Linked DNA regions of Notamacropus eugenii. The protein of the gene in region 2 purifies or fractionates together with the protein of the main gene of each other region. This does not show direct contact. Links are inferred from orthologs where the notes say so. Each region holds a gene or a part of one and is shown on either strand. Other genes may lie near its edges.

Region 1 (8,147 bases), on a different chromosome or scaffold from region 2:
TACGCCTTATCTAAACGTTTCCCAATATTCTCCAGCTCTTAAGACCACATATTTCAAGCAAGTCACAATGAATGCTTTATGAATTTCTATAATGTTTTAAAGCAACAAAACAAAGTATATTCGTAATAATAGCTAGCATGTATATAGTGTCCTAAGAATTGCAAAGCACTCTACAAATTTCTCTTTTGATACACACAACAGCAATCCTGAAAGGTAGGTGCTATTATTATGCCCATTTTACAGATGATAAAACTCACCTATAAATGAGGTAGACAAAGGATAAATAACCTGCCCAAGGTTACACAGACAATAAAAGTCTGAACCAGATTTTAACAAGTTGTCATTTGTGGTTTTAAGCACAAAAAAGTTAAATCCGGTGAGAAGTCTAAATATTAATGTAGACAGCAATATTTTACATAAGAGCTGCTTGGTTTTCCCTTCCAATGGGGTACAGCTACAAAAATATCTTTTTATCTCAAAGGAGGTCCCACACCCTGACCAGGTCAGAGGCATGAACGACAATAGCATAATAAGCTAAGATTCCAGCTCATTATTCTATTTTACTAAATCAACTACAGACTATATTAAAACATGGCTTATTTCAGAAATAGTAAGACTTACACAAACAAAATAACATCTGACCAATAAATATCTGAGCACCTACCTCAACTGTAAAGAAAGCATTTTGTAAATCTTAAAATGCTGTATAAGTGCAGGCTATTATTACAAGTTCACATTTTTGTTTTTAAAGTAAAAATTTTGCCAAACGTTAGTGTTATTAAAATTCTCACAAGAAGTGAGCTCATTTCTTGAAACTATTTACCATGTGAATTTTTAGCAAGTTCCTATCATTCTACAAAATTATTAGCCTATCTTAAAAACAATGCTTAATGTCGCTACAATCTGACACATAGTTAAGAAAATTAATACAACTTTCATAATATTTTCAAAAACAGCCCCCAAATAACCTATTTTTACAACACTCAGTGAGGACTGCAAAAATCTCTGAGGGAATAGATGATGTTCAAAAGAGTGTAAATTTTCTTCCAGAGACTCAGCATCATTTAACTATTGCCTTTTCAAATTATACATATTCATGACAAAAAAATAGTCCTTTGCAAACTCAGTTTTCTACTGTTAATTTTCATCTCTTAGTATGTTTGGGCTGTTAAGACTACTAAAGATATGAAACTGACAACTTAAATCTATGGTGATCCAGCAGACTAGTCATACAGTACAAAAAACACTTCTTATTTTTGATAAAAAATGGTAAACATTATATTCGGACAGGAAAAAGTTTTTAATTGTAAAAGAAGGTTGAAATTAGGGTTATTATTCCTACCACTCAAATTTGGAACACATACCTGCTATCCTAAAATCATAAAATTTGATCTTAATACTGCACTCTGGACTGGGTCATCAGAAATACAACTTTTTGTCCTGGCTTTATAAATAGAATTTAATTCTATATTTCTGCTCTAAAAATCAGAATGGGCACTGACAAAAAAAGATCAAAAGAATCCTGCTTTACTGTGTTGAGCATTACAGCATATTTTCCTAATTAATTTTAAGAATAATCCACTTAAACTCTTCTAAAGTAGCTTAAAATCAAAATATCGTAAGTCATGTGTTCCAATTATTTCCCTGCACAGATTTTTAACTTAAATCTTTCTGGTTCTGTCACACATTAAGCCTAGTATGATTCAAAGCCTCCATTTAAACTAACAGAGAAGTGTCATAAAAATGTTTAGAATGCCAGGGTTACACTCCTTCTGAAGTTTTCTTCTCTAACCCCAAGTCCCACATCTCTTTAAACTCAGGATCCAAACAGTATCATTTGATGAAGCAATTAAATTAATACTGCTCACTCCATACAGTAGCAGTACCACCCATAAAAACAGATTCTCCTGGGATTGCGAATTTAATTTTCAGGTGATTACTGGAATATTGCAAGCTATCAATACGACGAAAGGAAGCATAAACTTTTCTCCCTTTCTTCCCAATTCAACAAGTACTGTACTGAATGGGTGTCTCAGTAAAAGAACAGTATTTGGGAAGGAAAAAAAGCTGTAATAACTCAAAACTCTGAATCCCCTACCACGAATGGGAGGCACTGCTTCCTGAAATTATTCCTCTTCTCCCAAAACTGCAAAGCCCTTCCCCGCCTCGCTCGCCCACAAGTTTGGGTTGGCACCCTTTCACCCAGGCAGTTGGTCCAGCAGCCCCACTGACCCGCTTCCCACCCGGGGGCCGTGCTGCCCTGCGGGCATCTCCCCAAACTCTGCGCCTTCCCCAAGGGCTCATCCTAAAGGCACCAGGCGCGGGGAGCACGCCCGCAGGGTCCCCCCCAAACGGTCGGTTTCCAGACCAGTCCGGGGGGGCGACCCCTCAGGAAGGACGACCCCGGCCTCCCCCACCCGCCCGGCTCCGGACTCACTGGTTGGTCGGGGGCGCGTTCAGAGGGATGGCCACCTCCTCCTCCTCGTACTCGGGTCCGTCCAGGGAGTCGCCTTCGTCCACGGTCCCCGGGCCCCCGCCTAGGAGGGCGGGCAGCTGCTGCGGCGGCGGCGGCGGCAGAGGCGGGAAGCCCCCCGGGCCGGGGGCGTCGGCGGGCACGGGGGCACCCTTGGAGGGGGCGGCGTCCCCCTGGGGGCCGGCCGCGGCGGCGGGGACCCCTCCCGCCCCAGGCCCGGCTCCCAGAGCCGAGCACAAAGCGGGGCCCCCCAGCCCGGGCGCCGGGCCCGGGCAGGAGGGCACCGGACAGGGCAGGGCCGCAGGGGTCCTGACCCGACACACCGTGGCGCAAGGGCCGGGGTCGGCGGCCGAGGCCGGGCCGCCTCCGCCGCCTCCCGCCCCTGCGGTCGCCGGACCGCCCTCCTCACTCCCGGCCGCCTCGGCCGCCATCATGTTGGAGCCCGCTCGGCCCTGCCCTGCCTGGCCCTGCCCGTCCGGGAGCCCCGGGGGCCACAGGGCCCCGGGTCCTGGCCGCCCCTCCCCGGCGGGCCCCCCCCTCAGCTCCCCGGGCCGCGGAGGAAACAACAACAAAAGGCCGGAGCCCGCCCGCCCTCCGGCCCGAGGAGCCCCTGGGGCTGCAGCCCGGGCGCCCCGGAACGGCCCTGACCGGCTACGGAAAGAGAGGAGGGGAAAAAACACCCGCCCGCGACCCCGGCCCGGCCGAGGCGCGCACACGCCCCCGCGCAGACCGTCCGAAGGCGCGCGCGCACTCGCACTCACACACTCACACACGCACACAAAAGAAAACTTCCCGGCTCGGTAACTAACTAAGGAGCACGGGAAGAAGGGGAAGCGAGCCGGGGCCGCCGCCGCCACCACCGCCACCGCGGCCGCCTCTTCACCGCCCCAGTCCCGGCCACCCCCACCGCAGCAGCCGCCGCCGCCGCTGGCGCTGCTGCCGCTGCCGCCGCGGCTTCATCCTCCACGGGGCCGGAGGAGGAGGGAGGGCCGGGGAGGAGAGGAGGGAGGGAGGGGGTGGGGGCGGGAGACCGCGCGGAGCACAGCCCGAGTCGCGATTCCCGACCTGGAGCTCGCAGTGAGAGGAACTACAGAGAGGAGAAAGGGTGACGGGGAGGGGAGGCCGGAGGGGGAAAGAAAGGGAAGGGGGGAGGAGGGGGAGAAGAAAAAAAAGAAAAGCAGAGGGCCGCTTGTGCGCAGGCGCGCCCTGGGAAAGCTTTGGGCGCGGGGAGAGTCCGGGAGTAGGGCTGATGGAGGAGGAAAAGGAAGGGGCGGGGGAGGAGAGGGAAGGAAGAGGTGGGCGCGCGCGCGTTCGCGGCTCGGCCCCCACTCCTGCCAGCCGGGCGCGTGGCGGGCGGCCACTGAATTGTCCGCCTGGTTCGCGGCGGCGGCGCGCGCGCCTCCAGAGGCATTGTTCAAATGCTCCCGCGGCCCACGAGTCGCTTTGTTCCCAGACTTCCCCTGTGCTCCTCGGCCAGCCCAGCCGCCCGGTCCGGTCCCGGAGCTGGCTGCTGGCTGCTGGCTGGAGGGGGCGGGGACCGGAGAGGATGCGCTCCAGGGGATTCCTGGTTTGGGGATGGGGCGCTCCTAGACTACCCAGCGGGCGTGAAGTGAGCCACACCCAGGGGGTCTCCTGGCGGCCCTCGGAGCGAGCTGTTAAATGGGCTGCCAGACCCTTCCCTCGGGCTCCTAAATACTCTTAATAACCAGAAGCCCAAAAGGAAGAGCTTAGAAGTCCGTCAGTAAATACACATTTATTAGGCACCCACTGTAAGCTAAGCGCTGGTGATGCAGAAAAGTGAAAGGCAGCTCCTGCTGTCGAGGAAGTCACCGTCGAAAGGTGGGAACCATGTACAAATAACTGTACAAATGGGGAAGCCTGCCTTGAATTAAAGAGGATGGGGGAAAGCTGCCCACAGAAGTTTTTAGCTGTAACTTAAAGGAAGTCAGGAGGCGGAAACCGTGCTCTTGGGATAGGATCTGAAAAGATCAAAAAAACATTAAAAAGGTGGAAAGAGCACCCAAGAGAAAACACCCGTTGCCTTTGTGACCTTGGGCAGTAAAATCGCTTAATCTTTTCCTAGCTTCATTGTATCCACACTACCTGACACATTGTATCAGCTTAATAAATGCTTATCGGCTGGTTGACTGACTTAATGCTTTTCTTTCTTAGTCTAGGGTGCTCGGTTTCTTTGTGCCTTTTCTCATCAGGTTAATTAAGACAAGTAACCACGGTGGTCTGATCCAGGGAAGGAAGCAAAATACTTAAAACTAAACTAAAGAACTGATTGTCTTAACCCCTGCCCCAAAGAGTTCTAGGCAGGCACCATTCTATTGAATGTGCCAGGACAGACAATTAGAAGACTGAAAATCGGCAACCTCTGCAAGCTGAAACAGGCCAGAGGAACTAATAGTGAAAGATATCTGTGCATACCACCACCAAAGTTCTCCCATGCCTCATCCTGGCATGGAGAGGGTCTTGAACACTATGCCAGATATCACAAGTTCTAGCAGGTCTTACCACGCTGGAAAGGCTTAGAGTAAGGACCCTATTTGACTGTATGTACTGTGCAAGGACTAGCCTAGCCAATTTTGAGGAAGCTCATCACCTAGTTGGCGTAGGCAAATGAATTTTTCTGCTACAGTCACTAAAGGTACAGGAGGGTTGTGGCATTACTTAGTTGAGGGAAAATTACTTATCCTTAAAGTTTCTTTGCATAACGTTTCTTCCAAATTTTCCAATAAATTCTTGAAAGAAACTTTTAGTCTCTTTATATAGCAAAGGATATTTTTCCATTAGCAGTAAAAGCTAAAAAGAGTAACTCATTGGTAAGAAGGAGTGTGTGCATGGGCAAAATAAGCAGTTGTCTTTTGGTAAGGAGGAGGAATACTTGACCCATCTCCTAGGCTCTGAGAACTAATTGTTAAATTTTCAATGTGAGCAGTCACACTTCAAAAATCATCAAATGCTACACATTGAGTATAATTCATTATTTTGTTAATTTTGTAGAAGAAAATGATAATTATGCAGACTAAATTTAAAAGTGCTTTTTAAAGCACTCCAATTTTTTGAGCCAGTTGTTAAACGTTACCAGAAAGTCTTTATACATCCATCTGAAATTACAACAGCATTTGATTCATTCAAGTGGTTTAAGCTTTACCCTCTACATTCCTTTCTCCCCTTTTTAATGAAAATACCTTTGAGAAAGGTAATATTAAATTCCTAACAGCATAATATGAATTTGTTTTTTAGGTAAATTTCCTTTCTAAATGAAGTAACTGTCAGAAGAATATTGATACCCTGGGGAGAAATGGGGAAAGGACCCAAAGGAGGGAAGGACACAGGAAGGGATGATTGGAGACACTGGAGGAATGGATACTTATTTCATTAGTTTGCCTACAGTACACTTTGTACAAAATAAATCTGGAGCAACTTGACCATGTACCACTGGGGTTGGGGGGGTGGGGCGGGGAAGGAGAGAGAAGGAGAGGAGTGGAGAGGATTAAGGGTGGAGCTATTGAAATTTATTTAGGAATTCATTGAGGGATCTTGACATTCAAACCAGCCAGAATTGACTGGAGAAAAAGATCTGAAAAAAGGAAAGTTTCGCCCAGTAGTATCACAGTAAGGGAGAGAAAGGAGCATATTAGGAAGTACTGAGCTGCTACTTGTAGCTGTGGACCACCTTGGGATACAGGAATTGAGAACAGTGATCAGAGAGTTCCCATCTCTATTACACTTTGAAGGATAAGGAAATACTTCTCACAGCACACACATGTCCCACCTCCCCCAACTTCATAGGGTAGAGTCAGATTTTTTTCCTCCTTGGAGTTCTAGCACTTATAAACAAGGAACCAGAATCTAACACTGCTGCTTTATATTTTTCTATAAATGTTTTCAGATACATTACTACACTGTAAGTAGAAAAGGTTGTCTTTTTTTTTTTATCTTCTACATAATGCCTAGCACACTACTACTGAAGTAATGTGAAACTCAACTAGAAGTGCATACCTCTCATTTGTACATAAAGATCCCTGCAGGCCATGTGTTGACAGTTTAAAATGTAATATTAATCTATATTTTATTGTATTTTGTTTATTTTTAAAATATTTCCCAATTACATTTTAATCTGGTTCTGCTGCTCTCAGGAGTGCTGTGAGCTATGTGTTTTGACACTTTTTCTAGTAGTGACTTCCAGTCCAGATTTAAATTCCTAATATGTATTTGTCTCTTAACAACTGTCTTTTTTCACAGTCTCCTTTATGAGAAACACTGAACAGAACAGTTTATATTTAACCCCTCAAAAATATTTTTGAAAGCTTTACTACATAGATTGTTTCAACAGAAAGGCTTCTGATAACTGCATTTCTTGTTCTGAAAAACATTGCAAAATACATTTTTTTCCTTTGCATGATATTTTTAAATGTATGCTGATGTTTAAGTGAGGCTCCTTCTTCGAAGGATGAGAAGAAATGTCATAAGATAGTTTTTCTTCATCTTTTACTTCTCTTCCAATACGCTTCATGTTCTGAATATTTGGGTTTTTTCTATGATTTTTCACGTGTGTGAAAATATTTTCCTTAGTTGTGTTTATTTCCTTTGTTTCTTGGCTTTTGTTGTTAATTTCCCCTTTTTCTTCTTTTGTCTGTTTTTTTGTTTTTTTTTTACTCAGAAGCTTCTGAATCACTTGGCTTAGATGTAAGTGATGCTGACAGGAGAGTAGAAAACCAGCCGCAAGTCAACAAAGTGACAATATGCAACTGTGTGTCAGTATCTAGTTAGAGAGAGGTGTCCTGGGGTATAGTAAGAGTGGGTGTTAAGTCTGTTCTTTTATAACATCTGTTAAAACAATCTGTTAATGAAATTCAGAGACAATATTACATAGGGAGGTGCTAAGAAATAAAACAAACCATCCAGAGGAAATTGTAGGAGAGAAATTGCAAAATGAGATTAAAATGTTTAAGTGAATAATTTGCCATATTATATACATACACCAGACGTTGTTTAATGAAAAGGAAAAAATCGAATATTATATCAATGAAAAGAATTAGCTACAAAAGAGTCTATAATATGAGTTATTCTCAGTGCTCAGTGGCATCTTGAAAAATGGGTTGATTTCATCCTGGAATAAAACATGTATTGATACTATTGAGTATCAAGTTAAAGTTGTAATTTCATAGGCAATGCTATAAGTACAATTTATATCATTCCTAGAAAGTTAATAATACATGACACATATCATCAGGTAACTTTCTTGAAGACACACAGGTAGCAAGTACTGTAGCCAGTATTTGACTGTATTTGACAAGTATTTGTAGCCAGTTCTCAGACTCCAAATCCAGTGAGTGTTCTTTCCACTAAATCATTCTTAAGGAGATGGGTAGGGTTTAGAGTATTATATGATGAACATGAAGGAGAAGAAGAGCCAGTTGTAAGAGATTTGCATCAGTGTCTGAAGAACACAATCCTAGCTCTAGTGTGTAGTCTTATACAGACACAATTCTAGGTTTTCAGAAGTTATATTAATAAGTTTAACACTATGGCTAGTCTTACACTTTTTATGTCCTAGAGGTCCTTTTTCCATTGTAATCTTTATTTCACTTTCTTTAGAGGCACAAATTTGAATATATTTAGAAGGTAACAGGGAAAAAAAAACAGATAAGAGGAAAATGGC
Region 2 (8,091 bases):
TCTCTTTGGCTTCCATCACATCCTAGCTTGTAAATATATTATACTCACCTTTTTCATGTTGTGTATCTTTCTGGAGAATTCAGGTTTTTGGAAGGATGGAGAGTTTCCTTCTTGTCTTTGTAACTTCCATGCCTAACAGCGCCTTTATTGAAAGGTTATCAAACTGAAGTGAATTGAATGTGATTGAAAGTCTCTGCTCTGGACAACCTTTCCAGGTTTGTTGTATATTACTCAACCAATCCGCAAGCATTTATTAAACACTTACTAAATGTCTGGATCTGCTTGAGGCACCAGGAATATGAGGACAAAACCAAAATGGCCTCTGCCCTTAAGGACTAAGTTCTATTGCGGAAAGCATTCTGTGTGTACGTACAAATGCAAAATATATGCCAAGTAAATGAAAATAGAGGGAGGCACTAACAGCTGGGGTTGGACCAGGGATCAATAAGTGATAGCAGGTGGCTTAACCTGAGCTTTGAAGGAAGCTAAGGATTTTGGAAGACAAGAGTGGCCCATTACAATCATGGGTAACGATAACCTGTATTTTTATTTATTTATTTATTTTTGGTGTGAACGCAATTGAGGTTAAGTGACTTGCTCAGAGTTACACATCTAGTAATCGAGGCCTGAGTTGAACTCAGGTCCTCCTGACTTCACAGCCAGTGCTCTATCCACTTTGCCAAAAGTCACAGAAAGGATGTGGAATCTCATGTGTGAGCAAAGAAAAAAGGATCAGTTTGGGCTGACCAAAAAGTATGGGAAAGGGAATAATGTATGTCTGTAAAGGTAGGTTCCAGCCAGGTTCGTGTGCCAGAGAAGTTTGGACTTTAGCCTAGATGCAATAAAGAGTTACTGGAGCTTTTGGAGCAGGGGAGTGACTAGTCAGACCGGTACTTTAGGAACATCACTTGGGCTGTTGTATGGGTGGATGGAAGAGAAGGGAGCAGTTTAGGGAGGGAATAAGCAGTCACTAAGTATGTTCCACTGAGCTAAGTGCTTTGCAAGTATTATTTCATCTGGCCCTGTGAACCTGGACTGGAACTGGCCTCTAACCTGAGAATGGCCAGAGCCAGACAGAGCAAGCCAGAGGAAGGTGTCAGGGACTAAACAGAAGTTTAATTAATGTTAGAGTGAGGAAAACACTTGTAATCAGAAATCCCAAAGCAACAGGATTAGGCTTTTTTTTCTCTAAGAACTATATACAGATGCATATGATTGTCTTCCAAATTTATTTATCATGGAAAATCAGGCTTTGAGTATGTTTTGGTGATAAGTTCTCAAAATTGGATTATGACTTTATTAATTAAGGATTAATTGGATTTTATACATAAATTATATTGATAATGGTAAAGAAATGAAATTATTTCCCCATTTTTAAAAGTATCTGCCTTATAATTTAAAAGGCAGAAGAGTTCATTTTATAGTTGGACCCTTATCAATTTTATATATATATATATATAAAAACTGAAATTCTCTGAAAGACCAGAGTTATCTAAGAACCTCTAGATTTGGACTATGTAACAGAGAATATACACACATGTACGCATACATACACACATGCATGCATGCATACATACATACATAAACAGAGACAGACATCTATATTGTGGTCCTCACAGTGAGGAGCAGGGCTTGGATCATGATTCAGTAAAGTATATGGAAAAGGAGTAATCAGGACTGTCTACTTGGTGTTCCCCAGATCTCACATTCCACCTCAGTCTTTCTCCTTGAGCCCTCCTCAGTCTTAGACACTGTTATTGATCACTTTCTCCTCCTTGATACTTTCTTTTCTCTAGATTTTCAGCACTCCACTCTCTCCTGGTCTTCCTACTTCTCTGACTGATCATCTCTCTCCTTAGCTGGTTCCTCCTCCAGATCCCACCCTCTGACCATAGGTGGCCCTCAGGGTTCTGTCCTGGGCTCTTTTCTATATTTCTTCACTTGATATCATCAGCTCCCAAGGTTTGAATTACCATCTCTATTCTGATGACTCTCACAATCTACCTATCTTGCCTCACTCAGTCTTTGCTGATCTCCAATATTGCATCTCCAACCGTCTTTCAGACATCTCAGACTGGATATCCCATAGATGTCTTAAACTTGACATGTCCAAAACAGAATTTATTATCTCTCCCCCTCTTCCCCTTCCAGGATAACATTATCCTCCCAGTCCTTCTGAATTGCAGCTTAGGAGTCATCCTGGTTTTCTTCACTATCTCTTACCCATTCCCCTCCCTATATCTAAGTGGTTGCCAAGTCCTATTGATTTCACCTTTGCAATATCTCTTAATTAAGTCCCTTTCTCTCCTCTGACTGCTGCCACTCTAGTGCAGACCTTTGTCACGCCACACCTGGACTATTGCAATAGCCTGCTAGTGGGTTTGCCTGTCTTGGGTGAGTGTCTCTTCACTCCATTCCATCCTCCATTCAGCCACTAAAGTGATTTTCCTAAAGCACGGGTCCAGTCCTGTCACACACAAACCCCTAGCTCTCTGCCTCAGAGCCCTCCACCCCTCCCCCGCCAATAAATTCCAATGGCTCCCTATTGCCTCAAGGAGTAAATACAAAACGAGCCATTTAGCATTCAAATCGCTTCCTAACCTAGCTCCCTCCTGCCTTTCCAGTCGTTTTACACCTTACTTCTCTACCCTCTTGGATCCAGGTACACTGGCCTCCTTTCCATGAACAAGATCCTCCATCTCTCAGTTACAGCCATTTTCTCTGAAAGTACTCCATACTTTCCCTCTTCTGCTGACTACTGACCTCCCTGCCTTCCTTTAAATATCAACTAGAATCCCACTTTTACTGGAATCCTTCCCCAGTGGCTCCTAATTCCAGTGCCTTGCTTCTGTTAATTATTTCCTATTATCCTGTATATAGCTTTGTATATATTTGTTTGCATGATGTCTCCGCCATTAAATTGTAAGTTTCTTGGAGGAAGGAACTGTCTTTTGTCTCCTTTTGTATCCCCCAGCTCTTAGCACAGTACCTGGCACATAGTTGATGTTTAATAAATGTTTATTGATTGATTAATCGTCCCTCCAGGCCTTTGCCTAGACTATCCCTTAAGTCTGGAATGCATGACTTTATCCAGCCTCTTGGAAATCTCTAACTTCCTTCAGGGTTCAGTTAAAGTGCCATTTCTTACTTGAGGCCTCTTCTGATTCCCTTCCAGGTGCTAAAGCCCTTACCCTCAAATTACTTTCTACTGATTTTTGTCCAGCAGAAGACTTGTTCCTAGAAAGCAAGAGTTTTTGTCTTTGTTTTCCCAGGGGCCTAGCCCTGCAAGCCGGCAGCAGGTGAATAGTTGACCATAAACAAATAAATGTTTGTTAAATGAATTTAGGAATGTAGAAAATCTTCACCTCAGCCTAGGGGGTGAATTCTTCACTTGGAAGTGTTCTACACATTGACTTTTGGATGGAATTTCCATATTGACTGTGGGAGCGCCCTAGGCACAATGTAGTACTCTCCCATTGACCTGGAGTTGGATTAAACCAGGAAGCTAGGTGGTGAAGTGGATAGAGCGCTGGCCGTGGAGTCGGGAAGACTCACCTTCTGGAGTTCAGATCTGGGGTCAGTTACTAGCTAGCTGTGTGACCATGGTCTTCTTCAGCAACGAAGAACGAACATACAAACAGCTGTGTGACCAAGTCACTTCACCCTGTTCGCCTCAGTTTCCTCATTTGTAAAATGAGCTGGAAAAGAAATGGCAAACCATTCCAGTATCTCTGCCAAAATGAAAATAAAACAAAAATCAAGTGGGGTCACAAAGGATTGAACAACTGAAAAATGACTGAACAACAAAATGATTGAACCCCACCTTTGACATTTTTGGTCCAAATCTATGACCAGGAGAGACCACAGCGGTCTGGAGGATAGAGAGCTAGCTATGAGTCAAGTTCTGACAGATACATATTGCCAATTTGACCCTGAACCAGTGTCTTGGACAGGTTTCTTAACATGGGGTTGGACTCCATGGATAGATTTTAGGAGGACTGTGAACATGGATGGAAAAAAAAATATAATCTTTGATTTTAACTGACCCCTAAATAAAATTTCCTATAATTATGAATTTTTAAATAAAATATTTTGAGGAATTCATAAGCGTCACTAGACTGTCAAAGGAGTCCACGGCACACATCTAAAGATTAAGAAACTGAGAAGGCGCCTTCCCTATTTCACTGAAATCACAGATCCAGTCCCTGACGACCACCATAGTGGGGAAAATGCGAAGGCAGGCCTTGAGCCGGGTACCGGGCGGGAATTAATCAATCAATCCGCAAACCCCAAGGGGCGGGAGGAGAAGGTAGGCAAAACCTAATCTGGACAATCAGGGAGTGACCTCAGCCAGGGCCGCCTCCAACACTCAAAGGGAAAAGGGGGTGGTGGAGGTGGAGAGCTTGTCAATCAGTTACCCCCCTGGCCAATCAACAGGTGGCCCCGCCTTCCCAAGCCCCTTTTCCGTCCTTTACTCCACCCTCTTACCCCCCTAAGAAAAAGAGAGAGAGGGTCGTATCTGTGCTCTGCGACCAGCTACTCGACACGGTTCTCCTCCCTTTCCATTTTGCAGAGCTGAATTAAACGCGCTCAGGTGAGCGAGGGAGGGGGCGTTGTCTAGGGGAATTCCCCCTCCCTCCCGGAGTTAAGCCTGGTGTCCCTTTAAGGGGCTGGGTTCCCCCCACCCCCCCACCCCGGCCGCTTTGTCTTTCTGAGCGCCGGGAAGGGGGAGCGTCTTCGTTCCTATTCGCCCGCCCGGCCCCTCTCCCCGCTCCCCTCTCCCTTTGCAGCTAGAGCAACGAACACCACCGGATGTGGGGCGGGGGAGGCCGGGGGCAGCGGGGGCCCGAGAGCCCGGGGGCACTTAGTAGACCCTGCCGGGCTCCTGCCCCAGAGACCGAGAGAGAGAGAGAGAGAGAGAGAGAGAGAGAGAGAGAGAGAGACAGAGAGAGGGGGAGGGGGGGGAGAGAGAGAAAGAGAGAGGAGACAGGGAAAGACTGGCAGACAGGGAGAGGCCGGGAAGCAAGGGAGGCAGATTGGGAACCGCCCTGCAGCTCGGCTCCGTTCTCCCCCACTTCTTGAGCCAATGCACGTGTTGATTTAGGGGCAAAAGACCCTCACTCCCCATCAGCCCCTTCCTCCCCACCCCACTCAAGCAGAGGGAAGAGAGAGAGGGAAGACAGAGGGAAAGGCAGGCCCAGGTAGCAGCTGTGGCCGGGATGTGAAACTGACTCAGGCTGTAGGGTGGGTCTGGGTAGTTGTGCGACTGTTTGTGTAAGACTGTCCCAGGGACTTGTGTGCCACTGTTTGTGTGGTTCTGTTACACTCTGTGACTTCCATTATTTGTACGTGGCTGTTTCTGCGTGTGGGGGGTGAGGGGTGGGGGGTGTGTGTGGCTGTATTTTAGGGTGTACGAAGGACTATTGCAGGGTGTGCGACTGGGTTTGTGTTTCGGGGTGTGTGTGTGAGAGAGAGAGAGAGTGTGTGTGTGACAGAGTGTGAGACGCTGCTCTGCTCTTTTTCAGCCATTACTTCCTGAGTTTTCGGGACATCTTATCGGCCTCGAATCGATGCAGAGGCTTGCAAGATCAGAAGACTGACAAGTGGCTAGGGTGCCAGACTCGGACAGTGCGGGCTGTTGGAAGGTGGTCCGTAGGACTACCCTCGGGAGGCTGGGAGGGAAGGACGCCTCCTGGGTGGGGGGCGAACAGCCCCGCCTGCTGGGGGCGGGAAGGGGGGGGGGTCTTTGTTCGGGCCGGGGAGGCGGGGTCTGCGCGGGCGGGGCTCTGGGGGAGGGGGCATCAGTCTCCAGGCGCCTCCTTGGTTAACTCGGCCCCTTCCTCCTCCTCCTCCTCCCCGCCCCCGCAGGAGTCGCTGCCGCGGCGCGGATTGCTGGATTGTTGCTGGCAGACGCAGCGCTCGTCCAGACGCTGCCTCCTGAGCGCCCTCCGGGGCTCCCCGGCCTGCAGTTTGAGACAAACTCGGGTCTGGAGGAGAGCAGGAGATCCCCGGAATGATGGCAGGGGTGGGGGCCCCCTTCGCCAACGGCTGCGGGTCCTGCGCCCCGTCGGAGGCCGAGGCTCTGCACCTCTGCAGGAGTTTGGAAGTGGGCACCGTCATGACCTTGTTCTACTCCAAGAAATCCCAGCGACCAGAGAGGAAAACCTTCCAGGTCAAGCTGGAGACCCGGCAGATCACGTGGAGTCGTGGGGCAGATAAAATCGAAGGAGCGGGTAGGTGTTTGCGGCCCTGGCCCCTTTGCGTACCTTCTCTGGTTGGAGGAGAACTCGGATCGTTCCGTCCAGCTGTTTGTCCAGGGCTGGGGGTGGAGATATTCATGCAAACTTTGTGCGTTTCTGGCTCTCTCCCGCCGTCGTTTGCTGCTTCTCAGAATTTGGTTGCTTTGGGGAGGGGGCAGGGGCTAAGGGCCTTCACCCTTACCCAAGCGATTTTTATTCGTCTCGCAGGCAATGGATCAGGTACTGTCTGCTATGACGATTCATCCAGGGAAAACTGGGCCCAGGTGCTCTGAAAGACACCTTCCCACCCCCTTGACTATAGGCCCAGGGCATAGATGTGTGTGCTTCTCTCCTTCAGGATAACCAGAGTGTTTGGGGGGGGGGGGGGAGGAGCGGGGGAAATGAATCCCGGGGTTGGGGGATAAGGATTACCGCGGACGTTCCCCCCAGGCAAGAAGAGGGGTAGCTTTGTCTCCCGGCGGTTCTCAGCTGTGGGCCAGAAGAGGAAAGAAACAGCCACATTGTATCGCTTAGGTTGTTACATTGTTACTGTTAGAGTGGGGGGGGGGGGGCAGGGAGGCCGGCAGGCCAGCTTGTTGGCGCCTGCCTTCCCCACCTCCCTCCTCTTCCCGATCCCAAAGGGAAGGAAGCTGTGTTTGGGAAGGCCTGGGAGGGAGAAAAGAGAAGGCCTCCCCTAGCTCCCTCCTTCCTGCTGCACCTTTTGTCCTAACACTGAATGTCAGCCTAGCCTGGGTCAGGCCCACTGAGAGGGGCAGGGGGGAATTTCTGGGAGTTAGGCCCAGTTTATAAGGAAGGCTCCCTGGCTAGGAGAGTGGGGTACCTCCCTTAATTAGGGTGCATTCTGATCAATCCAGCCCTTCTAGTCTGGTAGACTCTAAGGAAGCATACTCCTTGTCAGTCCAAGGGGGTTGGCTTCGGTCTACACTCATGTAATTGGCTCCTTCATTGTAGGGTGGTAGTTGGAATGATATCCAGGACTTTTCTTAGAACTGTATCTCCCTCCTTCCAGATGGGAGCCAAGAAGTGATACTCAAAGGAGATGCCCAAAGAACTTCCAAGGGGAGGTTGTACCTGGTGGGAGAAAGAATCTCAGAATGGGCAGTTAATTAGGAAGGAGTGTCTGAAGTGAGTTGGGGATTCTGGGCCTAAAGAGGGAGAACTTTGGCTGTGGCAGACTACAGAAGGGCTGAGGCCTCTTTTTCCCTTGTGCTCGATCTGGGCTGAGGGTAGGGGGAGGCATAGATTATATCATGGTAGACAGAGTTGTGACTGTTGAGGTCCAAACACGAACCTTAGGAGGAATCTCTCCTAAGACAGAGAGTTAGAGAATTGAAGGGGTTGAGATGCTACTTCTCTACTCTAGGCATGTTAGGTGGTCAGTCAGACCCTCTAAATCAATGGGTACCCCCTTCTCAGGCCCTTGATCAAGGCCTTATTTCTATTGCTCTGAGGGATGCCCAGCACTAGACTGATGTGTTTGTGTGAGTCTGAAGCCTATGTTCTTCTGGCAGCAGGGTGACTGATGTTTGGGGGAGGAGAGAGGCACCGAACTTGGGGAGAGTTGGGATGGAGCCAGGAGCCTCAAGGTTTGAGATGGCGGCGAGAATGAAGGAGAAGGGATAGGCAGCATATATTTTAAGGATGTTGGATGCAGTCACTCAGAGTCTGAGGATAGCAGGGGGCATGTTGAGGAAGTATAGAGCTTCCTATTGCAGGGGAACACAAGGTTTTAGTGGGGTTTGCTATGGTGATGGTAGAGTGACCTGGTCTGGAATGTGAAGATGGGGTGGGGGTGCCTTGTAGAAGCCTAGTATTTGAGAGTGAAGAGGGG

The links.
Region 1: the proteins of PLCG1 (region 2) and RASA1 purify together in Homo sapiens (affinity purification with western blotting; 3 studies listed by BioGRID and IntAct, with this or other methods). This does not show direct contact. The link is inferred for Notamacropus eugenii from reciprocal best matches to the Homo sapiens genes PLCG1 and RASA1.

Annotation. Positions count from the first base shown.
Region 1 is NC_092875.1:454,108,513-454,116,659, forward strand, and holds the start of RASA1 (ras GTPase-activating protein 1), read right to left. Parts: upstream 3,405-8,147; 5' UTR 2,908-3,404; coding exon 2,438-2,907; intron 1-2,437. UniProt on the Homo sapiens protein: Inhibitory regulator of the Ras-cyclic AMP pathway. Stimulates the GTPase of normal but not oncogenic Ras p21; this stimulation may be further increased in the presence of NCK1.
Region 2 is NC_092872.1:423,909,753-423,917,843, reverse strand, and holds the start of PLCG1 (1-phosphatidylinositol 4,5-bisphosphate phosphodiesterase gamma-1), read left to right. Parts: upstream 1-4,481; 5' UTR 4,482-4,594; intron 4,595-4,672; exon of another isoform or gene 4,673-5,201; intron 5,202-5,525; 5' UTR 5,526-5,645; exon of another isoform or gene 5,646-5,648; intron 5,649-5,868; 5' UTR 5,869-6,013; coding exon 6,014-6,233; intron 6,234-8,091. UniProt on the Homo sapiens protein: Mediates the production of the second messenger molecules diacylglycerol (DAG) and inositol 1,4,5-trisphosphate (IP3). Plays an important role in the regulation of intracellular signaling cascades.